Macaca fascicularis: one gene and its partner. The protein of the gene in region 2 purifies or fractionates together with the protein of the main gene of each other region. This does not show direct contact. Links are inferred from orthologs where the notes say so. Each region holds a gene or a part of one and is shown on either strand. Other genes may lie near its edges.

What was found.
Region 1: the proteins of BRD8 (region 2) and JAZF1 purify together in Homo sapiens (affinity purification with mass spectrometry; 3 studies listed by BioGRID and IntAct, with this or other methods). This does not show direct contact. The link is inferred for Macaca fascicularis from reciprocal best matches to the Homo sapiens genes BRD8 and JAZF1.

The regions. Positions count from the first base shown.
Region 1 is NC_088377.1:102,082,158-102,098,370, reverse strand, and holds the start of JAZF1 (juxtaposed with another zinc finger protein 1), read right to left. Parts: upstream 7,529-16,213; 5' UTR 7,311-7,528; coding exon 7,196-7,310; intron 1-7,195. UniProt on the Homo sapiens protein: Acts as a transcriptional corepressor of orphan nuclear receptor NR2C2. Inhibits expression of the gluconeogenesis enzyme PCK2 through inhibition of NR2C2 activity.
Region 2 is NC_088380.1:144,650,137-144,665,894, forward strand, and holds part of BRD8 (bromodomain-containing protein 8), read right to left. Parts: intron 13,307-15,758; coding exon 13,179-13,306; intron 12,598-13,178; coding exon 12,528-12,597; intron 11,884-12,527; coding exon 11,834-11,883; intron 11,652-11,833; coding exon 11,529-11,651; intron 11,405-11,528; coding exon 11,324-11,404; intron 10,904-11,323; coding exon 10,839-10,903; intron 9,849-10,838; coding exon 9,712-9,848; intron 9,192-9,711; coding exon 8,973-9,191; intron 8,582-8,972; coding exon 8,437-8,581; intron 7,273-8,436; coding exon 7,063-7,272; intron 6,660-7,062; coding exon 6,379-6,659; intron 5,736-6,378; coding exon 5,283-5,735; intron 4,983-5,282; coding exon 4,889-4,982; intron 4,703-4,888; coding exon 4,656-4,702; intron 3,917-4,655; coding exon 3,702-3,916; intron 2,685-3,701; coding exon 2,592-2,684; intron 2,403-2,591; coding exon 2,334-2,402; intron 1,630-2,333; coding exon 1,452-1,629; intron 734-1,451; coding exon 629-733; intron 157-628; coding exon 112-156; and 1 more. UniProt on the Homo sapiens protein: May act as a coactivator during transcriptional activation by hormone-activated nuclear receptors (NR). Isoform 2 stimulates transcriptional activation by AR/DHTR, ESR1/NR3A1, RXRA/NR2B1 and THRB/ERBA2.

The DNA of each region.
Region 1 (16,213 bases), on a different chromosome or scaffold from region 2:
GTCTGTACATGTCTGGTCTCTCCAAATAAATTTCAAATCCTTAGAGATAGGAAGTACTGTCTTAAGCACTAACATATAAGAAATACTAAAAAATATGTGGCTGTCTTCACTATCCATGGTGATCTTAAAAGAGAGGGAAAAATGTATAATACAAATGTATATATACACACACATAAATATGTATACAAACATGTGGATATACATACACACATATATGTGCTATGTGTATAGACATATACATGTATTATTTATATATGTGTTAGATATCCTATATGCCTTTGTGTCTAAAATATATATTTATTTCTATATATCAATTATATCTATAATACCAAAAAAATGGTGAGTTTTTCAGTGTTATTAACCTGGTATCCAGACCATGTCCCTTCAAGGAGGTCTATCTCAGGCGAAAGTCACCATTGAAGTCTGGCAGGCAATAAACAGTGCTTCCTTGGGAGGCCCGTGGGTGAGCCGGGCAAGGGACAATGGCCATCAGGGGCTATCAGTGCTCTCTGGTGCTGGGCAGACGGTCTATTGTTAGTGACCCTAGAAGAGTCCCTCTGACTCCTGCCAAAGTTGAGAGCAATTGGAAAGACTTCACCCTTAAAGAGGATATCCACTAATCTGGTCCCTGCTCGCAGCTAGCTTTAAAAAAAAAAAAAAAAAGTAGGTGAAAACTACTGCCATGTTCCAGTGCTTACAGCGAGGGGAAAATACAATTTTCTTTACACCAATTAAATATATTAAATGAAAGGCACTTTTAAAAAATACACACATAATGAATTTCTGACATCTATGGTTTCCCATCTACAGATTCTAAATAAAGAACACTTTTCAATTTAATATGTTAGCCAGGTCAACATGGAAACAAAATGTGTATCTACAATCCAGCAGGTATTTCTTTGTATGCAGGACACGTCTGCACTGTTAAGATCTAAAGGCAGGGGTAAGAATGGGGTGGAGAAATATAAGGAAATGTGGAGTATGTATGATTCTTGCCCTAGAAGCAAAAACTAGAAAAGGAAGATTTTTAAGGAATTCAGAAACAATGCTCTACAATACCAGGCCTCTGGCTTCTCAACAGTCCCAGGGAAGCCCCTCATCAAGTGTCACCAGCCTGTACCAGCCTTAAGGCGTCCTCATTGTCATATACAGGAAGAATTGGGTTTTCTCAAAACAGCTGTCAGTTTGTATTTCCAGAACTGTCAACGTAGGAGATATCTCTGAAATATATGAACGCTAAAGAAAACCATTTTCTGAAGAATATGGAGGTTTCTGTCAACCCAGTTACATGCAGAGTTTTGGTGTCTGTACATTTCGGTCACATGTCAGAAAATGTGTATACCAAATGAAAACAATTAGAAGCTTGTGAAACTTATGAGACAGGATGTTCAACAGTGATGTTTTCTGAAGGATGATCTGACTGTTTACAGGTGAGAAGAGGCTTATGCAAAAACCAGTGAAGACAGAGTTTTGGAGACTGCCATGAAGTTTCAGATTTCGGGTTCCCTTATCCTGCCTATGGTGTGTGTGGGTGTGTGTGCGTGTGTGTGTGTGTGTGTGTATGCACATGCATTTAAAATTTCTCCTAGCACTACACCTGGGGGCTTCTCGGGAACCCTGGGAGTAACAGTGAGATCTTGCCGCCAAGCCACAGGGTGCAGGCAGAGAACAGGGCAGACAGCAACAAGCCTTTCATTCATTCATTTGTTCATTCAGTCATTCCTTCTCCCCACAGGAAGTGTTCTCAAGGGAATGCACCCACAGGCCCAAGGCACAGTGCCTCTTTCTAGTCCTGGATTTTTTCAAATAAATTCAGGCCACAAGGAAAGGCCATGTTGGAGGCCGCTGGCTTTAACACCACTTTCCCAGTCCACTGTGGCAAATGCCTCTGCCAGGGTATAAAGTGCCTCTGGCCACACAAAAGAGAACGTGGCCAGAGGCTGCAATACTACCGCTAGATTGTTGAGGGGTCTCCTATTTCCCGTTGTCAGTCCTTCCCAGGAAGAACCCAATGATGTCACACAGTTATAAAATGCCCAAAACAATACCACAAATAGGTGGATACAACCCATGTTAATCTCGAAGGTAGACTTTAACAGTAGGATTACATATTTATTTAGCAGATACACAAATGGCAAGAAACTACATGACGTAGACAACTTATTATTGTAGATAAATACTTCACATATATTATCTCACTTAATCCTCATTAACCACTCCGTGAGATGGGTGCTGCTACTATCCTCATTTTACAGAGGAGGCACAGTACGGTTAATTTGTCCCTGGTCATACGGCTGACAAGTGGCAGACATGTGTGTTCAACCCCAAGCAGTCTGGGTTCACTATGCCACTGCTCAGATGACCTTCATGTGGAGTTCAGTTACTTTCTAAAGGAGGAAACACAGACCAATCGTGTGAGGGGAGGTGAGGAGGGGACTGTCGAGTTCTTCACCTAATTGGCAACTGGCATAGGCTCAGCTTTGCATACCTGTCTGGAATTCAAATCTCCAAATCATACAAACCAGCCACGAAAGCTTAGGCAATTATAAACTGTTCCTTAGTTTGCTCACCTAAAAGTGGGAGTAATAAGGGCCAATGACAGACTGTATGACTTATCTATTTAGTACACTGTGGTGCTCCTTTGAGAAGATAATGCAAATATTTACTAAATCATCTTAGGAGCTAAATTCTATATTTTTGATAGTAAGTGGCCTGATTTTTCTTTCCGGAAACTTTGACCTTTATTAATTAGATGGTTTATAAATCTATACTATGAAATGAAGCACTATAGCTTTATTACCTGGGTTTTGGAGATGAGGAAACTAACAAGTAGAGACTCACAACAAGAAACCTGTTGATATTTGGAGTTAAGAACCAAGTTATAGCTAATGCAAGCCATTCTTGGTCAGTGAGACTCTGCCCCTTAACTGGGCCCTTGCAGGGAAATCTCTTTCAATAGCAAAGCTGAGAGTCCTAACATCTGAGGAGAGTTCTGAATGACCTGCTAGTCTGGTACTATCACACGAATAACTGAATTGGGTCAGATTCCTGTGTTTCTATTCAAGTGGTGCAGTCCTGCCTTGGGGCCTGTGCACTGCTGGCTCCCGGAATGTCCTCACGGCTAACTCTCACACCTCCTTCGAGGTTTTGTCTCCCATATCAGCCTCTCGGCAAGGCCCACCCTGACCAATCTATTTAAAATTCCAATACCTTCTCCTCCCAACCCTCCAGACCCTGCTCTAGTTTTTCTCTTTTCTGTATCATTAACCACCTCCCAACATACTGTATATCACATACTTCAATTGTTTATTGTCCGGCCCCCTACCCTAGAATATAAACTTCCTAGAGTGGTATCTTCATTTGGTAAACCAAAAAATATCAAGTGCTCATAACTTTGCCTGGCATAAAGCAGGGACTCAATATATTATTACATAAATAAATTCAAAATGCAGAGGTACTTCTAAAAATGCACCAAATAAATAAGAATGATTCAACAGTTGTGTTTCTGAGACGAAAAGTCATACGATTTCACAGCACTGGGATGCAGGATTGCAGCAGGCATTTCATGGGCCTGGGGCATGACCTTCAGTGCTAAATTTAGTGCTTCTGGTGTTTCTAAGATTCCCGGTTACCAGTTTAACTTCATCTATCTAGGATGTTCATACCAAGAGTGTTTCTACAAACTCAAATACCTACTCAAAATAAGAAGCAAGCAAATCCGGACCTGCTTTTCCCACCTCCATGTAACAGACCCAGACCTATGAATGAATTGATAACAAAATTGATGGAGAAGCACTTCACAGTTGCAGGGCTATGGGATTTCTAGGCAATTTAAATTTAAGTGGGAATGGGGGACAGTTTTAGCTAGGATATTCAGTGTGTACACTGAGACAGGTACTCCAGTACTGAACCAGCAGTGAAATGCAAGAAAGAAAACAGGAATACCAGTACAGCACCCTTCCAGGAGGGAAAAGAGCTAAAACAGTGGATGGTGAAAATCACACTTCCCTTGGTGCCAAAGCCCCAAATCCTTGTTCATTATGGGGAGAGGAAAATAGTTAAAAACAAAAGTTAAGCATACACGTATAAGATAACAGAGAGTTATTCTCAACTTAATGTGCTTAATTAATCCAAACTAAACATAATACTTTGATAATGAAAAATACAGGCCTTGAAAAATCTGCCAAGCAAGAAACACACCACATTCCCATAAATGTTCATTTTATCGCTGTTTAAGGGTTTTTACTAGCGGCTAAAGGTAATAACCCAGATAGGCCCCCAAAATGGAACGCTCGCCTAAGCATATCTCTAATACTCATGGTTGCTAAATAACAAGACTGCTTAACAAATTAAAAGCAAAATAACACATCTCTTATTTTTTTCCTGAATCTTTTTAATGTAACCACTCACCAACAGATATGAAATCAGTAAGTCAATCATTAAAAATAACAGTCTCCAAACTCTTATAGATTGAATTACAAACGATAAATACCACATAACAATACCAGTCTAGAACTTTCACTAAATGCTTTATATTTTCACCCATGTCTCTTCATCAAAAGTGTATTATGACACTATCTACGAATCGGGATATTTTTATTCTTTCTTAAGATCAATTCTTACTTCTTTCTGCATATAGGGCTGCCTTTGATAGTAAAGGGCCTCTCCCCAGCAGAGGTGTATAATAGTTTGAGCCTCTTCATCCTGGGAATTGCAAGTGTTCATTCATTTTAACATTTGCTTTTCATAAAGTTTGCTGGTTCAAACTATTTTCAACTGTGTTAGCCCTGCGACACAGTTCGCCTAGGTCACTGCTATTGCTGTAAACTTAATTTTTTCATATTTTCACTATTAAAAGGACAACACTAGCCTTCTGGGAATGAGATAGCATTACTTCAAAGTTGAGTTTTAGAAAATGTATCGAACTCTTAACCTTCTTAAAAAAATGTGTGCAAAATATTAGGACAATTTCTACACTTAAAAAAACCTCATGACTCACCAAGTTTTAGACCATCTCATACAAACTCCTCAAGAAGGATAACTGTCTTTAACACATCTTAATAAATAGAATTTATACTGTCTTTTAACCAGCTTGTCTAAGTAGGCAGGCAATGGGGTAAAATTATTACTCAGCTTACATAAATTACAGTTTATTCTGAAATAACTGTTAGCGAGAATGAATGGGATATGCAATGACAGCCTTCCTTAAGTCAAGAGATATTATTTATTTATATTACTTATATCATACATATGAATTTATAGCATTATTTATATTTCTTATTTTTTACTTATTATTGGGAGTAAGGGGAAGAACTTAAACTAGTAACATTTCTACCAGAACTTCACAGTACTGGTGTTTTCGCTTTATTTTAAACTAGCCATCATGAAAAATCTGATTTAATACTTTAAAGCACTTTCAGTAATGACTATTCAATCATGATATGAATCAGCAAATTTCTTGCTCCATTAAACTGCTTTTAAGACTACCAAAACTTGCCCAGCTCTTCTGTCACACCTTTAGCAGAGGAAATGGAAGAAGCTATTACAAGGACACCTGAAAACTTGAAAAGTTTCAAAACGTGGACAATTACTCAACAGAATTTTCTTCTGAAAGACATTTTGTAGACGTTTCCCATGATTATCTCCTATTCCGGATGGCCCATCAAATCACATTCTAAACAGGCATTCAACACTTATTAAGCACCCACTGTGTGCAGAGACAGCACTATACTAAGCAAAGGAGCATAGGGTTCTGCCTCATTTTATTCCTGCATAAATACACAGCGGTCGTGATTTATTCTCTCAACTTTGTAGAAACGTGAGCTGCATCCACATGGCTGAATCCATGGCATTCATTTGGACTTCCTGGGGGCAATTTACAGGTTCTCTGGATTAGACAGCCCCATTGGGACACCGCTCGGACCCTTCACCTTCCAGCCCACGCAGGACAATTCGCTGGCGTCGACCACACCTTCCGCAGGTGGTTGGACCGCCTGAGCCAGATGCACCCGGCCCACCTCCCTTAGCAGCGGTTCCGAATAGAAGTGTGAAAATGTGTGCAAGGACTTCTGCAAATCAGAGGATTTGTTGAAAGGTCCAGGGGTCCAGGCGTGAAGGGAAAGTAGCCACCCCGCGGGGCGCCCTCTCCCCGGCGTCCCCCGGGCCCGGGGCACTGCGCAGGCCGCCGCCGGTCCCAGGGTGCAGCCAGCGCACCTCGGGCCTAGCACCATTAGAAAGGCAAATCGCAGAGCCGGGGTGCATTTAAATCCCCGGCCATGGGCCCGGGGGGTGGGGTGACTCTCCAGCGGACGCTGCCGCAAGGGCCTCCAGGGCGCGTCGACCCCGGGGCGCTGGGCGCGGCCCGCGGGCGCACCCAAGACCTCAGCCCGCAGCGCCCGGGCGTCCGCGCCAGGCCGGGGCACGGGAGGGCACCCAGAGCCCCCGGGCCCGCGTCCCCGGCCCCGCCCGGGTCGCTCGGCCGCCTCCCAGAGAGAGGGCAAGCGCCCGGGCCCCCGCCCGCGGCCGCCGGCCCCGGCCCCCTCCCGATGCACCACACCTAGCAACCGGCGCTGACAGGACGCAGTGGCGGCGGCGGCGGCGGCGGGAGGAGGAAGCGGAATGGCTGCCGCGGTGGAGCCACCCCCGCCCCCCCGCTCCACCTCCCAGCGGCTGCAGCCGCCGCCGAGCCCTGACAGCTCGAGCCGGGGCGGAAGCGCCCGGCGGCGTGCAGCGCCCGCCCCCCGCTGCCCTCAGCGCCTCGGGCTGCTCCGACCACCCGGGCCAACTAACTCCGCGCCCCTGCCCAGCGCCCAGCGCCCGCCGCCCGCCGCGCCCTCCGCCCCGCGCCCCGCGAGCCGGCGCTCGGCCCCGCCGCCGCACCCCCCGCCGGCCCGCCGCGGCGCTCCCCGCTCCCACCACTTCGCAGCCCGCGTGCACGCCCCTGAGTCCCCCAGCCGCCAGCCCGCCCGCCCGCGGCACCTCGGGGCGCCCGCCCCCTCCCCCACCCCAGACCGCTCCCCGCCCCCCCCGGCACCTCGCGTCCCCGCATCCCGCCACCCCCACCTCGGGGCTCGCACGCGCCCTCCCCGGCCCACTGCCTCCCTCCCTGCGGGCCACCCCTGGCCATTCCGGGGCTCCCCGCCCAGGCAGGAGTTTCCGCGCGCCTGGCACCTCCGCCCACCCCCGGGCCATTTACCGATGTGGTTGTCCTCGATGTGCTCGATGAGGTCGGCCAGGGTGGGGAAGTGGAGTCCGCAGCCCCCGAATCGGCAGGTATTGGAGAAGAAGGAGGCGGCGGCGATGCCTGTCATGGTGCTACATCGAGAGCCCCCCTGGTGTCGGCTCTGCGAGCGCCGGGCGGGCGAGGGAGGGAGGGAGGCCGGGTGGGGTGAGGAGAGGAGGGGCTGGGGGAGGGGGAGAGAGGCGGGGTGAGGGGAGCGGCGAGGACGGGACGGAGGGAGAGGGGGCGAGAGAGATGGAAGGAGAGCAAGGAGCCACCGGGAGGCAGAGGGGAGGCGGCGGCTGCGGCGGCGGCGTCGGGAGCGGCGCGGGGAGGGCGGGGGCGGGGGCGGGGGGGAGGCCGCCGCAGCTGGGAGGAGGGACCAGGGCGCGCGGCTACAGCTGTGCGGCCCCAACCTCAGCGCCCGGACCCAGGCCTCACCTGCGAGCCCTGCCACCAACTTTATCTCGCTAGGCCTGCCCTTTACAGCTTGCGATCCGTGCCATCTGTTTGGAGCCTCCTTGGTTATGTATATGACGTTCTTAATGCACCCACATGGATTAATTACACCTACCTTCCTGCGAGGAGAACTCAGGGAGTTACCCTGGCCCCTCTCGGGGACATTTTTTTGTACTCAGCCACCTGTCTAGGTGTGACACATTCACAGGGGACCCGGGAAAGGTAATTGTGTGCACCTTCTTCTTTAAACCTTCTTTAGAAAAAGTCTGCATTCTCCGGAGGTTTGTACTAATTGATTTTAATGAAGCTTCCCTCTAGGCCAGAAGAAAATCTTAGCTTTATTTAAATTTCAAAATAGAGTGCTTGGTTGTCAAGTGCATTTGCCTGTGTTTTACATATGTACCACGTTTTTTATACTCCCTGCTCCTTCTAGGAAAACAAAAGCTAAAATAATTTAATCACCCGAAATTACAGCACCCCACTGCACCCACTCCACCATCTCAGGTGTGGTAATTAACCCAACCTCGTTTCAGCCACGGCAGAAAGGACGGTGCATTGGTTAAGGCTAGAAGGAATGGAAACAACGGCGAGGGAAATGGTGACTCTTATTTAAAAAGGAAGCGATTTCATCCTGTGAGCATTTAAACCATAATGTTGACCAGGTAACCACTTAAGTTGAATTTAGTAGCTTCCCTGAAAACCAGCATTTTGCTGATTATCAATTACTTTCTGGTCCCCACCCCCTCCTCCAGTTGCAGTCATATTTCTGCTGTAAAGTGTCTATTTGCCATAGCAGTTTTCAGGTGCCTAAGAAATACTACACATTATCAGCAGTTTATGACCCAACAGTACATTTTTTATTAATATTAATATGTGCATACTGAATTTAGTATTTTTCCTTACCGCAAATTTCACTTACCCTCTGGTGCAGATAAATGGAGAAATAGTATTCCTCCCTCCATAAACTCTATGCATCCCTATCTAGTGTTATTTCTAATAATGGGATTGTTTGCTTTTCATGCAAGTTCTTAGAGTAAAGGTACATGTAATATGTCTGTTGCTACAGGAAGTTTTATGATCTGACCATCACGGGTATCATTTTCTCTTCTCATCTCTTCTGTCTTGCAGCTTACAAGGTGACAAACTTTTGCTGAGATGAGATTTGGCTTGGGTGGGGCTGGGGCAGCTGTGTCTTGAAGTTCAGTTTGGTGCCAAGAATGGTTTCGTGGTCCCAATGAGGGAGGGGGCAGGGCCCTGGTGGGCCTGATAATGAGCCAGGGACCCAGTTGGCAGGGGACTGAGGCCAAGGCCAGACAAGGGTCTAAAGAGCAGGAGTTAGAATTCTAGATCTTGAATTAGAATTTTGGCAGCTGTGCAGTACATTCAGCTGCCCAATCTGGGAAGGCCTTCAACTGAGAGCAGGCAGAATATCTGGCAGGCACACATCACACCGAATGACATGGAAATGCAATACAAAAACTTCAGCCAAAAATGGTGCCAAAACAGCTACTCTTAGAGATGAGTGTGAGGCACCCCCACTGTGCAGCATCTGGGAGCCCCAATAGCTTTCAAGAAGTAGCAATTCTGTCCTCCGGAGGAAAAATTGTCTATATGGAGTTATTAACTCCCAAGAGTGTGGAGAGGTGGTTCAGGCAACAAAGTTCCAAGATGGAAAGTGCCGGAAATGTGCAGGTGAAAGATGAAGGAAGTAAGGGGCCTGGGTTTCACTAATGCATGGCTTTCTACTACCTCCTGTCAGTTTCACTATTCCTAAAATAAAACCTTGCTAGACCAAATTGAAAAAATAGATTTTTTTTTTAAATGAAGTGAGCTAAAATAACTTCCGAAGTAAATCAAGATTTTGATTTTTAAGACAAAATTATTTTCTCTACCTTGGATAATTATTACTATTTTATAAGGAATCAGTTCATTTTGCCTGAAAATAATCCACCCTACTACTTCTTCATATATGACTGAAGCTTTGTTTATGTGTCATTCTGCTTATACTAGTTTTTAAAAATCTGTATACTCTAGGCATTTCTGGTCTTTGTATAAGATACATGATTATGATCTCTTAGATCTGGAAGATGCTCTGGCTGTCAGAACCACTGGTTTTGTAAATGTGGTAAACTGACGCCAGGGGCATCAAGCAAGTTCTCCCAGGTGCACACAGTTTTTTCTCTGTACTCGTGGTGCATTTAGAAGGCATTGATAAACAATAGAAGGACAAATATATAGATAGTAACCACATGCAAAGTTTTTAAAAAATTGCTAATAGCATGCTTACCTTTCTGTACTTACATTTTTAAAGTGTTTGTTTCAAGGATACTCCTTTAGATAAAGTCAACATCTAAGCTACAAAAATATATAAAACAAACAATTCAACTTATTGCATCCGAGAGAGAAGGTGATGACTGACATACCTCTGTACTTGCAAAAAACATTTATCTGTCTGATTTGGGAAGTAAAAATATTTGAAAGGAGAGGGACAGTGAGGGAACTGAGAAGTCAGAATGATATGACAGTGGCTGTAGACAAGAAGCATTCTCTGGGTTTAAGAGCCTTCCTTGAAAACATGTGTCTCTCCCCAGAGCCTAGTGCCTCCCAATGTGTAGGCACAAAGTATGGATGTGCAGTGGCCCCACAGTGTGGTACTTAGCATTACAAATGGTTTGAGATCCCATAACAGTCTCTCCAAATCCAGCATGTCCAGTGCCCTCGAGATGGGGCAGCTGCTGGAAGATGTGAATCCACTGGTCTAATGGAGCCAACTGAAGACACTGAGGATCCTGCTTCATACAGCTGTCTGTCCTCCACATGCAGGAATTGGTTTATTTTGGCATACACTGATAATCAAAACCGTGCACTTCCTGTGTCCTGTGTGGACATCTGTTAACGATGCAAGAGGATCTATATGAACATTAGATTCTATCTTGAATCTAACTCTATACTGCCTTCAACTCTAGCTTTCTCTGGCTTTTTAGATTGTTTTCCAGGTCCCTCTTGAGGTGCTATTCAGGTTTACTAGATATTTCTTCTGTTGTCACCACTGTGTCGAATGAGCAGATCATGAATCTCGGTCTTCTTCAGCTCATGCAAGTCTGTGGACACTTACAATGTCTGATGTTCCCCGGCTCTTGAATACTAAGGCTGCCACTTCCACCAACAGCAACCTTGGGCTCAATGGCATGCCTTCTTTAGGCTCCATCTTCTTCTAAGGAGGATGATGTCTATTCCAGGTTTTATTGTTTAATATTTATGCAACCAAGTTCTCTGTATTGATTTTATTCCAGCTCAGAAATGAATCAGCTTTATCTGCTCTCTGCTGATTAATTTTCATTTTGTCCCCCAGTCTCATTTTGCCTAGGATTAAGAGCTAGCCTTAGAATGAGTAATGGGGGTATTCTCGTTAGTTGCCACCAGCGACCTCATGAGTGTTAGCCCCTAGCTCGCCACCTGGCTCCTCCTGCCTACTGACTGTATACGTAGTTATGGCATTTATTTCCAGTTCCTTTTAGGACTTTTCCAGAACTAAAATAGTAAAACACACCACCAATCACTGCAGTTCTAATTGAGCGTCTTGGATGCATTCCCCTACGTTATGTGCTACACTGCTATCCAGATGATAACTCCAAACCCAAATCTGATGGGAGCCACTGCTGCTCAGGCCAGCCCAACCTGAGATTTAGAATAATGTTAACAAAAGCAGCTAAGCAATTACTATTTCATTTTTGCCTTTAACCTATCTTGATTGAACATCTATGCAAGGCTCCTGTTACACAACTCCAGAAAGCTCTATTTATATAGGCAACTGCATGAACAGTGACCCTGGGATCTGTGCAGCCTTGCAGTGCTGTTCCACCATGCAAGATATGAGGGATACAATTTGAATGAGACAAGCCCAGTCTGTCCTCACATGAGAGAGCACTAGGTGCTTTGCAAGGTCCTCCTCAATCTATTCTAAGGGTCTGCTAGGGGTGGCTTGGTTGGACTCCGTGTACTACCCTCTTGGCTGCTCTAGTATCTATTATTTCCCTTCTTTCCAGCTTTGGCTCACTCAGATGATAACTTCAGTTGCTGCTGACTGTATTGGAGGCACTAAGGCCACTAATGCTTGTAAAAGACTGCACAACCGTTTTTGCCCAAAGATGTGTTTTTAGGCATCACTGATTCTCACACAGCAATGCACAGTCTTGAGGATTTCTATAACTTCAAAGGCTACTAGCACCTTTTTTGTTGTAGCTTTTTGAGGTTTTACCAGCTCACACTATTGCAGTCCGTTTCCTCTAGGACTCAGACAAGTATCAATGGAGATTGGACTAGAAGATCAAATTGGGAATACTACTCCATGATCTCATCTCCCCTGCTAGAATGTCTTAGTGGTAACTTTCACTACCAGAATAAGCTTCCTACTTTTCAATGACCAAAATTGATCTCTGCAGAAAAATTTGATCCCAGCCTTACCTCCTACAGTTTTCCCACGCGTACTGACAGTTCAAGATGTACCAAATCATTTTCGTTTTCTTTCTTCTTCTTCTTTTTTTTTTTTTGAGATAAGATCTTACTCTGTTGCCCAGGCTGGAGTACAGTGGCACGATCACGGCTCACTGCAGCCTCAACTTCCTGGATTCAAGCAATCCTCCCACTTCGGCCTCCTGAGTAGCTGGGATTACAGGTGCATGCCACCATGCCCAGCAAATTTTTTGTATTTTTTGTAGAGATGGAGTTTCGCCATTTGCCCAGGCCAGTCTCAAATTCTGGGCTCAAGCGATCCACCCGCCTTGGCCTCCCAAAGTACTGGGATTACAGGCGTGAGCCACTGCATGCTGCCATTTTAGTTTTCAAAATGCATTCACTTGTTCACACAAAAGCCACCTTGCCTTTCTTTGCAAATGTTGTGTAGCCTGCCTGGAACATTCTTTTTCCCTCTTCCCCATTCCCTCCCCCGAATATACTGCAGCAATTCAGCATGTAATCTCCTCCAGGAAGCCTTCCCTATAACTGCCTCCTCTTCCTTCCCTGCTGAGCTGGATGCCTATCATCTGTGTTCTAGCCAAATTCCCTCTGCATCAGATTCTGACTGCTGGCTTACTGGTCTTCCATCTCCTGTGTACCAGTAGTTCTCAAACCTTTTGATCAAGAATCCACTTGATCTCATTAATATTTATATTTATTTATAAATTATATACAGGAGCTACTTTTCACATATCGTATGTATATTATAGGCTAGACACAGTGACTCACGCCTGTAATCCCAACACTTTGGGAGGCTGAGGTGGGAGGACATTAGAAGCCAGGGGTTTGAGACTAGCCTGGTCAATATAGCAAGACCCTATGTCTGCAAAAAATTAAAAAATTAGTTGGGTATGGTGGTATACCCCTGTAATCCTGGCTATTCAGGAGGCTGAGGCAAGGGGGGAATAACTTGAACCCAGAAGTTCAAGGTTACACTGAGCTATGATCACACCTCTGCACTCCAGCCTGGGCTACAGAGCGAGATTCTCTCTCTAAACCAAAAACCAAATGTAGTATGTATATTATGAAATAAACTCTTTTTTAAACGTAGGAATAGAAGGCCTGGTATCTTCATACTATACTGCAGAGTATTGCCTGGCCCACATCCTGGGGTAAATGTATTCCTCCTTGGAGGCCTCTGCACTTGATGGTAGCCTCCTTGAGGAAAGAAACTTTTTTTTTTTTCTTTTTTCTGGAGTCTCACTCTGTTGCCCAGACTGGAGTGCAGTGGCACGATCTCAGCTCACCGCAACCTCCGCCTCCTGGGTTCAAGCAATTCTTCTGCCTCAGCCTCCCGAGTAGCTGAGACTACAGGCGCGTGCCATCATACCTCCCTAATTTTTTGTATTTTTAGTAGAGACGGGGTTTCACCGTGTTAGCCAGGATGGTCTCGATCTCCTGACTTCATGATCTGCCCACCTCAGCCTCCCAAAGAGAAACTATCTTTAGGCCTGCACTGCTCAATAAAAGTTGTGTGGAAGTATAGTTCAGCACTGTGATAAGGCAGTGTGCTAAGATTTCAGTTTTCAATGTTAAAGTTATTTCTAACAATTTGTTACTGTTCTTCTCTTATGTAGCATCAAGGAAAGAATCTTTAGTCTCTTAGCTTGGATAGATTACAAGTCATTCCTTCCTGTGATTGTGGATCCACTTTTGACGAGACCTCTTTCTAAGGTCTAGTGCAATGACTGTGCTGTGCCAATAACAGGCACTTACAAACTGCTTGTCTCATTTATTTTGATGATGCTGGTTTCCTAGTCTCTGCTGACGCAAAGCCATTCAACTGGACAGAGAGAAGCAGGGAGCCGTTCAGTCATGACATGAGATCTGACACTAGCTCTCCTTTTGTTAACTGACTAGGATATCTTTCCCTTTCACAGATGTTCAAATTCACTATAATGATTATTTTAAATAACTATTACTACATTCATTGAGTGCCCACTGTTGGACTTGATGCCTTAACACAGAGCAGTTCTTAAATCCTGTGAGGTAGACAAATGCTATGCCCAAACTATGGATGAGAAAAAACAAGACCCTGGGAAATGAGGTAACTTGCTGAGGTCCTTAAAGCTAATAAGTGCTGGAACTAGGATTTGAACTCAGCTCTGTCTGACTCCAGAGTCCTGGCACTTAACACTCTATCCATACTTGAATTTGTGGATTATAGAACACTTTTGTTCTCTCCCCTTGAATCTGGGGGCAGGCCCATGCTCACATAAATCACAGACACTGGGCTAGAGGGGCAAAAGCATCCTAGTTTGCCAAATGCGTTAGGTGAGGATACTGAGAATCAGGATGGGGATTTGATGATGGAGATGTCATGAGGCCTCCAGCAGGAACTGAAGCTCTTGGCTTGTCTTTTGCCCTCTCCTTCTCTATTGGGAGGTCCTCTCATTGCTGTTAGCAAGCTTGTTTCTGGTCTTAAATGCCTTATTTTAAAACTAAACTTTATAGAGATATCAGACTTTTAAAAGATACCCTCATGTTGCCCTTCACCCTGTTCCTGACAACCTCCACTCTGTGCCTTCCTGTTGGTGATTTTGGGGTGGAATAGGGAACACAGGCATCACCTATCATGAGGAAAGGTGACCCTTTTGTTTTCGTCATGCTCTTTGTCTTTGCTCCTGTTTTGTAAGGACTTAACTCATGTTGTCTTTCAGCCAATTGTTTGGCATAATTATATTTTCTGTTGCAATTTTAGTTCCGAGAGTCACAGAACAAACAGTCCCATTAAGCATCATCTCAAAGGGCTCTGCAGCTCAGTCCCTTCTTTTGCAGATCTGGACCAATGTGGAGGCTACTTTTGCCTTACAGAAAATGGACCCAGATTCCAGTCATTTCTCTAGGAAATGACTTTCCCCCTGGGTTTTATAACTCAATTTGCCTTTCTGTAATTTTCATCCCATTATGTGTTTGCCAAGATAAATGATTCTTTCTTCTCTGTATTGCCTTATATATGTAATGACTTTTCTTATTTATAAGGCCTCAAACTCAGAAACCTTAGAGTCAAACAGGATGCAATGAGAGAAGAGGTGTGTGAATGCACGTTTGTATTGTGTGAATGGTGGGGCAATGGTGACCTGGACGGAACTGTTCTTTTAAAACACTGGAAAGCAAACACATTCCACCTGCAGCCCACAGTTGGCCCATGAGCCTTCCAGTTTGCAATCTCTGTTTTTCTTTCCATGCCACAGTGCCCAAATTAGATTACTCTTATTGCCACAACAGCCCAAAAATATCCAGATTAATTATTTCTCATCACTGTGAGATGTAATCTAATTCTTGTTGTAAACAATTCAAGAAGGGTCCTTTGCACCTTAAACAGATCTTGAAGATAATATCTGAGCTGCCCAGGTAAACGGTCATATCAGAGGGAATAAATAATTGATAAGGACTGTCTTCCTGGTTTTAACATTTCTTGGTTTTCAGCATCTTTCTGTATTACCCAGTGCAGATCAAAGTCATAGGACATTTTCAACAAGCTGACGGTATAAATACTCCAAATTTATCTCTAAAGTGAGTGACGTAAAAGATAATGTTGTATAGCACCTGACCAGTCTTCATCTATAAAATAATTAACAAAACCCTTCAGTTGGTAGGTTTGGGCTGCCCAGTCTTTGAGTATTCCCTCTCCTGTGTCTGCAGCTCAAAGTCACATTGCTTGCAAGATATTCTCTTTAAAAATGTATATAGTAAACAAACATTTTAGATTACAGTCTTCAGGGTTAGAGCCAACTCATGATTCCAATTTCTCTCTCATTCGCCATTAACATTCTCACTCTCCCCTTCCCAATCCAGCGTCCCTCCCCTGCTACCTTTCCCTGCCTGTCCCCGACCCCCTGAAAATATGGTGACTTTTCAGGATTGATTCTTGCATGGGGCCTATGCATGGAGAGTGTTTGGTATCGTGTTTGAGAAAGTTGCACCAGAGAAGAGAATTCAAGAAAGAAACAGGAAAAAGGAAACTGGGAAAGAAAACTAAAAAAGGGCAGAAGCAAAGGTTGAGAGATCTTTTCTGTC
Region 2 (15,758 bases):
GTTCAAGACACTGCCACGGTCTGCATGTTGGATTTCCCTCTGCCACCCACCCCCATTAAGAGCTGAGAATCTTTGTGGCAACACCACCCCTCGCAGCCATTCAATACTTACAAAGAGAGAGAGAAGGAAGGCAGGAGAGCCCATTGGGACACTGTCCTGTTAGAGGACAAACAAACACTGATCAGGTTCCACAGAAACTCTCAGCCACAAGCACCCCAAACCTCAGGACAGAGACACAAGCACCACACACACAAGGACAAAATTTAAAAACTCAAGAACAAGAGGAAAGAGATCCAAAAGCAATCTGGCCATTACGCCTCTAGAACAGAAACTGCTGGTCCCCAACTGCTGCAGGCTAAGCCATTTCCCCCGCCTTGACAGCACTCTCCCAGAGGAATTAACAATTCCCCTACTCACGATTTCTTCCATGTGACTGGGTCTTTCGGTTACAACAGGCTTATTCAATGTTTAGATGGGTGCGAACAACCACCATTCTAAGATCTATGTGTCTGTATATTATTGGAATCTAGAAGCCCAACAGTACCAAGTAGTAACATAAGGTTCCTTGGATACTTCAGACTTCTACTACTGGAACACTGGCACACAGGTTCCTTCCTGGTCACCTCACCTTCTCTGAAGCATCCTGTTTGCGAGTAGAATCTCTCCCTCGAAGACTTTTAGCACTGATCCCAGACTCGGATGTTTGCATAATCAACTGCGTGGCCAAGAATTGCTGTAGGGAGAAGAAATAGGGTAGGCCATGGAGACCTGATTTAGTAGAGACAAATCAAGTACACTTTAAGCACTGTAAATAGAACTTTGTACAGTACTCTTCTGGCTCAAATATATTTTGACTGACTGGAAGTTTAGCCTATTAAGTTTTAATTCTAGTTGCAATAGGGATGCTAAGGGATGCTAAGAATCTTTTTTTGCTATAACATAGGATCAAATCTCTATCCTCCAGGAATGAGAAAAAGAATAAAACTGGAATGATCCAAAGATCATTCAGCAATTTAAGTAATTTGACAGATCGTGCGAAGATTTGCAACATTCTTCCAAGTTCAACACCCCAAAAAGTACCTGGTAATGCAATCACAGGATAAAAGTAGGGAAAAGGAAAGGAGAAACTCTTATTTGCTGAGCATCTACTATGTACCAGGTACTTGATGTAATTAAAAAATATGCATTCACCAGTTTTTAAAAAATTTATTTAAAAACTTTATGAAACTGCAATTAATTGCCCAAGAAAGGTAGAATATTGTATCACAACTCTTTCACCACACCACAGAAAATAAAAATAAATTCCGCAAGAACAAAATATTACGTTTTCAATGTGTCCCTGATAGCTATCCAAGTAAAAGCCACAGCAATCCTTCTTGGCATCAATATGAATCCTCCCCTTGAGTATTTTAATTTCATCCTTGCTGAAACACAAAAGATCCTCAAAGTACCTGGATCTGTTCCAAGACATCTCTCTGCATCTCCACTGCCATGTGATAGACATCATGGTCTGAGCTATTGTACATTACAGCATTCTGAAACATTAGCATAATGTCACGCTGAAATTCAGCTGTGCTTCGGATCAGTCCATTTTCTATGTTTTTCTTAATAGTTGACAAATCCATAGGCCTAAAAAAAAGAACAGGGGTAAGTGGCAGTGTGGGTGGGAAGAGGACTCATCTAGATCTCTGAATACATTATCATCATACAGACTTTCTCATATATACCTTAATTTGCAGCTGCCAGGACTTAAATGCTAACCCCTTACCCCGAAACATGCACTTAACCCATTTAACAATCTATATAATAAGCATTGAGAAAGGTAATAAAGGGAGTTTGTGTGTTTTTTTTTTTTTTTTTTGGAGACAGGGCCTGGCTCTGTCACTCAGGCTGTAGTGCAGTGGCACAATCATGGTTCATTGCAGCCTCGAACTTCCAGGCTCAAGCAATCCTTCCCACCTCAGCCTCCCAGGTAGTTGGGACTACAAATGCGCGACACCACACCTGGCTAAGTTTTGTATTTTTTATAGAGAGGGGGTTTCGCCATGTTGCCCAGGCTAGTTTTGAATTCCTGGGCTCAAGTGATTCACCCACCTCAGCACCCTCAAAGTGCTGGGATTACAGGCGTGAGCCACCACTCCCGGTGAGGATTTATTCTTTTAGACTATCAGTGGTGATCCAGCCACTGGAATCATCAGTTTAGTACTTAGTGCCCCTTATAGCAAAACCATAAATTTACTTGCTTTAAACTTTCTATCTAAAGCAAAACTTTCACTAAGACTGGACAACTTATAATTCAGGCAAGTTACCATGCTGAGTGGATCATGGCTCACCTCTGCACAATGCTGTGGTAGCCAGGTGCTATGTCATCTGTAACAGGCTGCAGGAAGACATTGGCATACCTGTCCAAAAGGAATAAGGTGCAATTACTGACATTCTCCAGAAGAACAGGGAGAGAACTTACTCTAAGTAGCTGAAGATAGTAAGAACCAATACCAGCAGTTCCACAGAAGCCTACTCAGACTTTTTTCCAGTCACCAACAATGAAGAGTAAGAGAAAATGAACCTACTGACTGATAAAGCCCACTCACCTATGATTAGCTGCAGCTCTCCATACAAGCATGATGGCTTTCTTCCAAATTTTCTGTGCCTGAATAGCTTCCTGATCCTCGCTACAGACAGAGCTGAAACAGAGATACAGCAATTTCACTAGGCACAAGTTAAAAAATATATATATATATATAAAAAATTATCTCTTTTTTTTAGAGACAGGGTCTCACTCTGTCCCCCAGGCTGGAGTGCAGTGGCGTGATCATGTTCACTGCACCCTCAACCTCCCAGACTCAATCCTCTCACCTCAGCCTCCCAAGTAGCTGGGACTGTAGGTGCATACCACCATGCCCAGCTAATTTTTTAATTTTTTTGTAGAGATAGGGTCTCACTGTGTTGCCCAGGCTGGTCTCGAAGTCCTGGGTTCCAGCGATCCTCCTGCCTTAGCCTCCTAAAGTGTTGGGATTACAGGTGTGAGCCACCATGCCCAGCCCTAATAATTTTTGTCAACTGTTTATTCCAGGCCAAAAAAGGGAAACACTAAAGAAAAGATCAGGCCAGGCATTGTGGCTCATGCCTCTAATTCTAGTGCTTTGGGATGTCAAGGCAAGAAGACTGCTTGAGGTCAGGAGTTCAAGACCAGACTGGACCACATAGGGAGATTCTGTCTCTTAAAAGAACATCTTTTAAAAACAAAAATTTAAAAATAAAGAAAAAGACCACGTATGGTGGCTCATGCCTGTAATCTCAGCACTTTGGGAGGCCGAGGCAACTGTTGAGCTCAGGAGTTTGAGAACAGCCTGGGTAAAATGGCAAAACTTGGTCTCTACTAAAAAAAATTTTTTTAATTAGTAGGGTGTGGTGGTGCAGGCCAGTAGTCCCAGCTACTAAGGAGGCTGAGGTGAAAGGATTGCTTGGGCCTGAGAAGTGGAGGTTGCAGTGAGCTGAGATCGCGCCACTGCCCTCCAGCATGGGTGAGTGAGAACAACAAAGGAAGGAAGGAAAGAAAGAAAGAAGGAGAGAAGAGAGGAGGGGAGGGGAGGGGAGGGGAGGGGAGGGGAGGGGAGGGGAGGGGAGGGGAGGGGAAGAAAAGATCCTCTCCTTCTCACCTTCACTGCCTTAGCCTCAAAGGAAGAATCTCAGATACTCACAACTGTGAAGAAGCAGGGCTGCTGGGGATGGAGTCTGCCAGCGTGTGTGACTGCAGTGTAGCATTGTGTATGCTGAAGCCATCATCACTCTCGCTCACAGGAGGTTCATTATCCATTTCTGACAAATAACCTTCTCCTTGATCCTCTTCCTTAGGCTCCTCTAGGCTGGCCGCTTCACTGACACCATCTTCCTCCTCATCCTCACCTGGGGCATCCTTAGACACAGTATGCTCCAGTCAATAAATGCAAGCAAAGCTATCCAGCAAAGCATCATTAAACATGCTCTGTCTTTTGGGTTAGAATTAGTTCTAGAAATGACCTCACGCTGTTTCCTGACTTAGCTGTCTATCACTTATACTACCATCTACTTAAAGACACTGACTTAAGTAATTTAGAACCTGGACAAAGAATAATACCCAGGATCTTTTAAAAAGAAAGAAAAAAAAAGCTACTTACTTAAGACTAAGCTAAGAGGCGTTCCTTCTTTCCCCTTGTTCAAGAGTAACTCTGACCCTGGATACAAAGTTATCAAAAATAATTTTTATTTTGTGTCTCATCTGATGGAGCAAGCTCACATCGCATTCTTTAAGTCTCTGTTACTACTGCTTTAATAATTCTAAAAAGAAAACTTTGGATGATTTTCTTTGGATAGTCTAATTAATAAACTGGATTCCTGTATGTTCTCCTTAGTTCTGGTATCCTTATTCACTCCAAATCACTCTAAGTGTATCAAGGCTTCTTAAGGACTGTGATATTCACAAGCTGTTTCATATGGGAGGCACCTGTTGCTACAGTACTCCCATTATGCCTGTCTACTGCAGCTTTTCCCCACGCAACTCCATACCAGTCTCTTATCAGAGAATAAAAATGCGACTTTACTGAAATTCATTAAAAAGTAGTGCTATAGGGAAATCTAATCACATGGCAAGAGGAATAAAGAAAAGTCTGAAATACCTTTATCTGGCTTCCAAAAATAGTCCCTGATTCTTCTTTCAATGAGTCTGCAGAGGAGAGAAAGACTACCTGAAGATTTTTCCACCTTAGCCTTCCCCTTCCTATGGACCATAATCCCCTGCAGCTCTCCTTTCCATGCTGACCTGTTCTACCTCCTCTACTTGCCCACAACCCACAATCCCTCAGAAGCCAAAGCAAATGATTTCAAGTTAGTTAAAGAGGACTTTATTTACCTGACATTTCGAACTTGTGCTGAGTCTCTGCTTCTAAAGGATCTTCAATGGGATTTGAGCCATGTGATGGAGACAACATGCTTTCAGGGGATGCCTGAAAACCAGAAAAGAAAAAACACCCTAAGTACTGGTAAATCACTATAGCTCACACAACTTTATTCTTCAATGATAATGAGACCATAGAAGAAATTCTAAGTCCTATTCATGTAATGTGACTCCAATGGTCACCTTAACAGGAATAAGTATATATAACACTAATCACAGCCTATGGGCTTTGGACCATCAAACATGTCAGAACTCAGGAATGCAACTGGAAAACCAAAAAACCTAAGCTATCACTTCTTACTTAAGGTATAACCCTCCATCTCCCCAGCCCCTGATCTTTATTAAGTACCTCTGTCTTCACATTTGTAAGTGGAGTCTCATCGCCTTTCCCAATGGCAACATCTGCTTCAACAATCTCTCCAGTTGCAGTACTTCCCGGTTCCTCATCTAAGTCCTGACTCCTGAGTTCTGGTGGCTCCATACTTGTGGCTGGAACAACTCCAGCTACTATTTCAGCCCCTGAAATGACTGATTCTGGTTCTGCAGGTTCCACCTTGATCTCTGCACTGGGCTCCCTGATGTCCACCAGTTCATGTATTCCCTTGTTTTCAGTTTCCTCAAAGTCCAGTCTCTCTTGCTTGACTGTCATTTCTGGTGCAGGGAGAGGTACTGGCTTGTCCCGCTCCTGCTGGATAGGATGCTCCCAGGGGCCAGGCAGGGATTGAGGATCATCATTTTCTTCACAAAATGACAGTGCTGCTTCCACTGCTGCCACATCCAGCACTTCAGGATGATCATCTACCTGTCCCACAAAACACAAGACTATTGAGGTCACAGAAAGAAGCTCAAGTCCCTCAATTTTTGTTAGCACCAAATGTGATGGCTTGAATCTGCAGCTTTTCTCTCCATTTTTTCCATGTAGTGGAGACAAACAATGAACAGGCACCTGTTCTGTGTAAACCAGTAACATAGATAGGCCTGGGGAGATGACTAGTATGTTAGCACCAAAGGGCTACAAAGATGGAGATAGGCAGAGTTAAGTAATTCTTACTGTAAGAAGTAAAGAGGCCAAGCACGGTGGCTCATGCCTGTAACCTCAGCACTTTGGGAGGCCGAGGTGGGTGGATCACTTGATGCCGGGAGCTTGAGACCAGCCTGGCCAACATGGCAAAACTCATCTCTACTAAAAATGCAAAAAATTAGTGAGGCGTGGTGGCACGTGCCTGTAGTCCCAGCTACTCAGGAGGTTGAGGCACAAGAATTACCTCTGGGAGGCAGAGGTAACAGTGAACCAACATCGTGCCACTGCACTTCAGCCTGGATGACAGAGCAAGACTTTGTCTCTTAAAAAAAAAAAAAAAAAAAACAGCAGCAGCAAAGTGAGGCTGAAGAGAGAAGCCTATGTAGGACCCATGAGATTCTCTGGGGCTTCACTGAATAGTTACCTTGTCCTCAATGATGGCAATGATGTCTCCAACAGTCTCAAAATCCAGCTCTTCACCTGTGTAAGACACAGCAATATCCATCTTCTCAGCCAGATCTAATTCTTCCTTCCCATCTATGCTGGGTGCCTTTGATCCAACAGGGGCCTCTGCTACCCCTGATCGAAAACACTCTTCTTTGATAGAATTAATGATCATGGAGATTTCACTGCTGTCCATGGAAACAGTCACAGTATGTGGATCCCCCACAGCCTCCATGGGAACACAGTTATCGGGCTGACTTACTGAATAATAGAAAGAGAAAAGCCATCTCAGAAGCTTATTGGGTACAAAGTGACCACCTTGAGATCACATCAGCGCTATAGACAGATGTCAAATATCCAAACACTTAAGATCAGAAAGTCATCATACATGTGCCTATGTTTTCTTCTCCCCAGTTTTATCTAGAAAGGTGAGAACATAATCTCAAGCCTGCTCACATTTGTACACTTAGCGTCTTCCTGCAATACATAAATGCCCACCCACCTCTTCTCACATCTAAGGATATTTATTTCTAAGGATAAAGATGGCACATGTCTATGTAGAACACAGAAGCAGCATCTGAATTGGAGCCGATGCTCTTGGTCATTTTTCTCTAACTGAAGCTCAAAATGAAATTTTAGACCTTGTGGCTGCTCAGGGACGCACCTGGAGCTACACTTTCAGTAGTGGAGACAGCCGGAGCAGAGGATGGTGCTGGCAGCGCAGGCATCATGACAATGGTAGCTTGGGACACAGACTCTACAGGGGGTGGCACAAGTTTAACTGGAGGCTCACTGGCAACAGTAGTGAAGGAAGCAAGAGGTGTGGTGAACTGTGTAGGACCAGCTTCTAAAAGCCGGGAAAGAGTGGGAGCACCTAACATATAAAGAGGTACACAAAATGAAGTAAGAAGAAAGCACATAAACAAGAAGCAATAGCTACTTGAAGACTCAACTAAGAAAATTCTTTTGGTCTCAAAGGATGAGAGCAACTCCTGCACTGAGTAAGTTCATCATCTATATCCTTACCCTCTCTAACCTTACTTAAGATCTTCCTCCAAGTTAGGAATGAACCAAAGCACTAGAACACACAACATATATAAAAAATGGGTGGTGAGGCCAGATGCAGTGGCTCACGCCTGTAATGCAAGCACTTTGGGAAGCTAAGGCAGGTGGGTCACTTGCGGTCAAGAGGTTGAGACCAGCATGGGCAACATAGTAAAACCCTGCCTCTACTAAAAATACAAAAATACAAAAAAAAAATTAGCCAGGTGTGGTGGCGGGCGCTGTAATCCCAGCTACTCAGGAGGCTGAGGGAGGAGAACTGCTTGAACCCTTGAACCAGGGAGGTGGAGATTGCAGGGAGCCAAGATCATGCCACCGCACTCCAGGTTGGGCGACAGAGCAAGGCTCTGTCTCCAAAAAAAAAAAAAAAAAGGTGGTAATTCTTCCTCAGAGGAAAATTAATCATCAAGAAACAAAAAACTGGTATGAATAAATCTGTCACTTCTGCTGAAGTTCAGCATATTGTAAAACCACCCAAGTTTAACACCATTCAAATACCAATAAGGTTTGTATGGTATTCTATGGAGCTTTTTTTCCTTCCCTGCTTTATACTTTCTACCTCATTAAATTCTCATCACATCCTTGTGAAGTATATATGTTACAATAAAAAAGGAAACTGAGGCTCAAAAGCTAAGTTACCTATCCAAGGTCACAAAACCAATGTGTGGCAGGCCTTATTCCACTATTCTATAATCTTAGGTATCTCTAGCACCTTGATTTTGCAAGCTCTAAGAAAGCAGCTCAATATTACTCTCAATATCCATGCAGTGGTCAATCAGGGCTATCAGTATCTTGAAGACAGATGGCTTTATAATATGGAGACTACATTGTTTACCAGGTAAAGTAGCTCCAAAAAAAAGTTAGAAAAAGTTGGGCTTTAAATCTAGGACTGACAACTGCTTAGTAACAAACAGTGAAACTGAGTCAATGTCAAGTTCAACACCTCTGAGGTTGTAAAGGAAAAGTGGTAACTTACCTGACGCAGCAGGGGAGGCTGCAACAGTATTGGGTGTTTGCTGTATCTCCCCACCATGTATCATGGGAAGGACCCCGCCTACCTCCAGGAGGACACCTGTACTGTTCAGGTGGCCAGAAGCCACAGCCATTTCACTCTCATTGACCTACCAGGGAAGAATAGAGGTGAAGGCTACACTCAAGCTTTCCTTTACTACCATTTCCCAACAAAGCTCCAGCAGTTGATCAAACTTCATGAGAACTAATAGTTAATATCCACGGAGAATAATTTAAGACTCAAGGGAAACTCTAAACTATAATGTTCAAAACTTATCTGACAAGAGTTCTCTGGAGAAGAGAACCAAAATAATTGTGATTCAGATACCTCAGGACCCATGGGTACTATCAACTTACTGTATTTTTTAAAAATTAACATTTAATTAGGAGATCTTTTCCTCTTTTGAACTTTTATTCCCCATGTCACATTTTAGGTCCCAGGCACTCCCTTCCAAGTACTAAATCACCACAGCTCTCAAACACCCACAGAAGTCTCCATACCAGTCTGGGGCTAGTAGGCAGGAGGCTGCCCTTCTTCAAGAGCTCTGACAGCAGAGGGGAGGGGGGTGGAGTTGCTTTCTGTCCAAGCATCTTTTTCTGGGGTGAATCATCTGTTACTGGGGTCATGGGGGCTTCTAAGGGTGCAGAGCCTGGAGGAAGGGTGTCAGGAATCCCAGGAAACGAGGTGACTGGGGTACTCGGCAAAGTCCCGGGGGTTACCTAAGAGACAACAGAGAACCTTTATCTGACTTCTCAAACTATGGAAGGTTCCCTACTAATCTGTATGGGTTAGTGTGTCTAACTATTATTTTATTAGTCCTGAGTGGAACTGCCCAGAAACCCTCTATCCCTCCTGCTTTTAGCCATACGTTTCTTCCCCACAATCTTCTCCTTCATCCACTCAAACCCACAATGACTCAACCATCCCACCCAACCTGCCTTTTATGAACTCCAATATTACATTTACAAGGATTTTGTCCCTTATTTCGCAGGAATTTCATAAGACTAGTATGAAACAATTCCTTAAAATAGTTTTTTACCTATCTCTCAGAAAGGTCAAAAGCCTCAATGCTTTTAGGTCCGGTCTTATCTCAGAGCACAGAACAGGGTAAATTAAGTCTTTAGCATTCAGATCAAGAGAGGAAGCTGCCTCTAGGCCAAAAGTGGTTTCCTCATCACTCAGCTCTGCCGGCTTATTGCCCCTTCACTTATCAATTCCCACAGAAGGAAATATACTCACCCCAGAGGTAGCCTCTTCCATAGTGGTTGGAGTCAAGTCCCCAAGTGGATAATCACCTCCTGGGGAGGCAGAATCTATAGGAGAGCGAACCATCACAGTGGGTAACCTCCGGGGGGGTGTTTTTACTGCTTGACGAGCTAGAACATAAAAAAGAACAATGTCCAAATCTTCAAGATTAAATAAATGACACTTGACACTATTCTACTATTATACAATAAAGGACAAATAGGAATGCTGCATTAGTAAAGCAACACAATGAGTCTGAATTAGAAAGCTTTAACACTTCTGGAGATGGATAACTTTTTAGCATAATTTTTCCTAAGGGCAATTTTCACACTAAGCAATCTCCTTTAACAATCTCAAACTACTTAATTATCCCAAAGGTCCTTGGAGTGGGAAAGTAGTTTAAACACCCTTTAAAATTCTCTTTAGCAACTTATTAATATTCTGCTTTTAAGAACAGGGAGGCTGGGTACGGCGGCTCACGGCCATAATCCCAGCACTTTGGGAGGCCAAGGCAGGTGGATCACCTGAGGTCAGGAGTTTGAGGCCAGCCTGCAAAACCCTATCTCTACTAAAAATACAAAAATTAGCCAGGCGTGGTGGCAGGCACCTGTAATGCCAGCTACGCGGGAGGCTGAAGCAGGAGAATCGCTTCAACCTGGGAGGCGGAGGTTGCAGTGACCCAAGATCACACCACTGCACTCCAGCCTGCACAGCAAGAGCAAAACTCAGCCTGGGGGAAAAACAAAAACAAAAACAGGCAAAGACCTCACTGGCTCACAGCATGTATTCCTAGAGTTGTAAATACTTAAATTTTTCCCCTCATCCAATGACTGAGCTATTCTCAATCTTTTCACAGGCCCTTGACTTCTAAAACATTATGTTGAATATCTTCTTATCAAGCCTTTGTGTCCTAAAGTTAATTTAAGGTCTAGTGAGATCTGAAAACAACTCATATTCTATGAGTTTCTTCTTAGACATTAAGGGATGTTTTTATTCTGGTAGAAGAGAAAACTGCAAGTAAATTTAAATCAATGGATTCTATGTTACAAAATAGTCCAACTGTCATTAGCATGCAGTACTGTGCAATTAATTGCTAAACAGCTATACTAGGTCCAGCTTACCCTGATATGCAGCATCTGTAGCCTTCCTCTTTACTTCAGCCTCCTCTTCTTCCAATTTCTTTTTCCTAAACAGGGAATTAACGGTTGGATGCTAGACAGCTCTGGCTCCTCCCCAGAGTTCACAGAACCCTTACAAAGAAATTTTTTTGCCAGGCCAGCACTTTCTGGAAGAAAGGCCTAATCAGGAATTCTAACCAGCAAAACAGGGAACTGGAGTATAGTGCCTAACTCACAGTTCTTCACCTAGGTAAACTATAGCCACTTTAAAGTTAGAACTAAGTTATGTTTTCATACTGAAATGTTCCATCACATTACCTTCTAGGACTCACTCCCCACTCCCAGCCACCAAGCCACTCTGCGCTTTCCCCTTCCAGAATCTGTCTGAAGTCTAAATGAATGGCAGTTGTAGGAAATAAGCCAGATTACTTGAGTAGAAAAGAGGGTAAAAAGAAAGAGGCACAGAAGAACAATATAATATAACCCACATTGCAATGTCATTGCAAAGCTCATCCAGTCTGCTGTCCATGTGTCCAGCTTGAATTAGTTCTGCATCTCTTTTTAGCCGTCTATAGGAAGAAAGAGAGGTAGGTAGACTAGGTTTTTTAATCTGCTATTTAAAAAGTTCCAACCAGTACCAGAAGACAGCCCCTATGTCTTTCTCAATCTTTTGGCATTCTCTTTGATAAGTACCTATATCTCTCCTGAGTTTCCTTTATCACTTTCTTTAGTTCCTCAACTCTCTCAGCAGTCAGTTTCCGAACAATGACATCTTCAACAGTTTCCACCACTTCTCCCTTTTCACCTCGTTTCCGTCTGTGGAAAATTGGAAAAAAAAAAAAAAAATTCATATTCGAGTAAGAGAACATTTATCCCCTCTCCTACTTGCTTTTACCACTTTTATATCACCCAGTATTATAAGTAAGTATAAACCAGAATTCCTCAGTAAATACTCTCCACTAAAGAAATTTGGCTGAAGTACCTGGCTTTGTACTCACTTTGGTGTCTCAGTGGTCTCTAAAAGCTCCGAGTATTGGGAAGCACAATGCTATAAAAAAAGTGAAAATATGATGAGCAAGCCTGGAAAGAAATGACCTTTCAAAGTTTCAAGAGATTAGAGTAAGATTTAGAGAAGAGAACTATATGTAAGATGGGAGTGGTTTACTAGGAGGGCAAGTAACTTTATAATCAAATCAGTTCAAAATAATCAAAACAAGACACAGAAAAAGGGCGTCTTATGGACTGGAGTTTGTGCATTTGGGGAAAGGCAACCTAACTGCCAATATTTATAGCTAATATCTACTAAGTAGTTACCACATGCAAGGCACTGTGTTAAATGTTTTACATGTATTACCTGAATTAACTTCACAACAAACCTGAAGCAACTCTTATCTCTATTTTACAAATGAAAAAACAGAGGATCATGGCCCAAAGTTTTTAGATGCAGTAATAATGAACCCAGATCTAATTCCCAAGCTTGGGCTCTTAACTGTTATGCAACACCAATAAGAAAGGTCTAATATGATCATACATGGATGGATTAGCAAACAGTAGGAAAAAGAAAAAGGTGTATTCTCAACTATTTTTCCACATCATGGTATAAAAGCTTTGTAATTAAAAGTCAGGGCCTGGTAGAGAACCTACTTTACAACCCAAAGACTGCTCTAAAAGAGCACTTGCTTGGGAACTTACTTTTTGAGAGAACCAGTCTGGAGGGCGGCCAGGTTCTGCAAAGGGCTTGATTGCTCTGCTAACTGATACCCTACAAAATGAGGAAAGCTTTATTACACATCAAGCAGTAAATAATAGGAGAGGTGTGCTGAAAGTGTAAGGCCTGGAGTTCAAACTTTGGAATAAAAAAGATGCCAATGGCCAGGCGCGGTAGCTCACGCCTGTCATCCCAGCACTTTGGGAGGCCAAGATGGGTGGATCACAAGGTCAGGAGATCGAGACCATCCTGGCCAACATGGTGAAACCCCATCTCTACTAAAAATACAAAAATTAGTTGGGCATGGTGGCAAGCACCTGCAGTCCCAGCTACTCAGGAGGCTGAGGCAGGAGAATCTCTTGAACACGGGGGGGCGGAGGTCACAGTGAGCCAAGATCTCGCCACTGCACTCCAGCCTAGGGACAGAGTGAGACTCTGTCTCAAAAAGAAGGAGGAAAAAAAAAAAAAAAAAGATGCCAATGAATGCGAGGTGTGCAATGGGCCGTGCGTATAATCCCAGCACTCTGGCAGGCAGAGGTGAGAGGATAGCTTGAGCCCAGGAGTTCAAGCCACCCAAGGAGACCCCATCTCTACAAAAAAAAAAAAAAAAATTGACAAGGTGTGGTGGTGCGTACCTGCAGCCTGTGGTCTCAGTTACTTGGGCAGCTGAGGTGGGAGGATCCCTTGAGCCCAGAAGAGGCTGCAGTGAGCCCAATTCATGCCACTGCACTCCAGCCTGGGTGACAGAGTGAGACCACCCCCTCTGCCATTCAAAAAAAAGAACAGCATGTATAGTATATAATCATTTGTGTTAAAAAATGACGGGGATGAGGAGGAAAAAGAAAGTATTTATTTGCTCACATAAAATTAATGCTGGAGAGACACAAGAAACTGCTAACACCAGTAGATGGGGGACAATAATGCGAGCAAGCCATTGCATATAATTTTGAACCTTATGACTTAGAATCTGCTGATAAAATAATAAAATTTAAAAATTTTTACTAAAGTATTCTTACACTATTTTTCTATGACTGGGCGTGGTGACTCAGGCCTGTAATCACAACGCTTCAGGAGGTTGAGGAGGGCAGATTGCTTGAGATGAGGAGCTTGAGACCAGCCTGGCCAACATGGTGAAACCCCATCTCTACTAAAAATACAAAAATTAGCCAGGCATGGTGGCGTGCACCTTTAATCACAGCTACTCGGGAGGCTGAGCTAGGACAATCGCTTAAATCCAGGAGGTGGAGGTTGCAGTGAGCTGAGATTGTGCCACTGCATTCCAACCTGGCTGACACAGCAAGACTCCATCTCAAAAAACAAAACAAAAAAAAGGATTCTTAACACTATCTAATAAAAATGTGAGGAAATATACAGATTAAATTCTATTTTAAACCAGTTTACCTATTTTGTTTAAAAATGAGCTTAGTTTATATATATACACATATATGTATATATGTACACATGTACACACATCTGTGTATATATACACACACACATGCATATGTATATACATACATACACGTAACACACAAATATATGTGATGTGTATACACACACGCACACACACACAAACACACACTGTTTTTGTTTAGACAGTATCTCACTTTGTCACCCAGACTTCATGGCACAATCATGGCTCACTATAGCTTCCACCTCTGAGGCTTAGGCAACCTCCTACTGCAGCCCCACCCAAGTAGCTGAAATCACAGATGCACCATCATGCCTGGCTAATTTTCTTTTTTGTAGGGAACAGGGTCTCTCATGTTGCCTCCCTGGCTCAAGCCATCCTCACATCTCAGCTTCCCGAGTAGCTGGAACTATAGGCACACACCACCAAACCGAGCTAATATTTTTATGTTTTTTGGAGAGACACAGTTTTGTCATATTGCCCAGACTGGTCTCCAATTCATCATCTCAAGCGACCTGCCCGCCTTGGCCTCCCAAAGTTCTGGGATTACAGATGTGAGCCACTGCACCCAGCCCCATTCTATTCTCTAGTTCTATGAGGTCTGTAATTTTTCCTAGATTCTACATGTAACTGAGATCATATGGTATTTATGTGTCCAGCTTATTTCACTTTACATACTATCCTCCAGGCTCAACCATGGAATCACAAATGGAGGATTTAATTCTTTTTTATGGCTCAACAGTATTCCACTGTGTATATAAATATATATGTATGTGTATGTGTGTATGTGTGTGTGTGTGTGTGTATATCTCGTATTTTCTTTACCTGTTCATCTGTTAACGGATACTATAATAATTACCTTAATTGTGGATAGTTTCACAGATGTATATATATTTCAAAAGTACCGTATCTTATGCTTTAAATATGTGCAGTGGCCAGGTGTGGTAGCTCATGCCTGTAATCCTAGCACTTTGGGAAGCCAAGGCAGGTGGATCATCTGAAGTCAGGAGTTCAAGACCAGCCTGGCCAACATGGCAAAACCCCATCTCTACCAAAAAATACAAAAATTAGCCAGGCATGCTGGCGTAGGCCTGTAGTCCCAGGTACTCGGGAGGCTGAGGTGGCAGAATCACTTGAACCTGGGAGGCAGAGGTTCCAGTGAGCCAAGATTGCGCCACTGCACTCCAGCCTGGGCAACAGAGTGAGACTCCACCCCCCCCCGCCCAAAAAAAGGTAGAGTTTACTGCACATCAATTATATCACAAAAAAGTTGTTAAAAGGGAAGGGATGTGACCTTTCTTACCAACCCCCTTCCTTCTTGTTGCATGGATCAAGGATGTGATAGCTGAAGGTCAAGCAGCCACCGTGAACCAGAAGATAACCAGAAGATAAACTATGTGCTGAGGAAGGTGGCACAGAAAGAGAAGATCCTGAGCCTCTAATGTCACTGTGAAGTTGCTATGAGAGCTGTTGACTGCCTAGACTTCCTGTATGTGTGACAAAAAATAAACTCAAGTTTTTAACCCATTTCTTTGTTGCGGTTGCTCTTTTTATATAGTGTTTTTGTTTTTATGGTGGCCACGTATTACTTCAGAAATTAGATTTAAAAAACAAACAAGGCCAGGCGTGGTGGCTCACGCCTGTAATCCCAGCACTTTGGGAAGCTGAGGCGGGTGGATTACCTGAGGTCGGGAGCTCAAGACCAGCCTGACCAACATGGAGAAACCCCATCTCTACTAAAAATACAAAATTAGCCAGGCATGGTGGCGCATGCCTGTAATCCCAGCTACTCGGGAGGCTGAAGCAG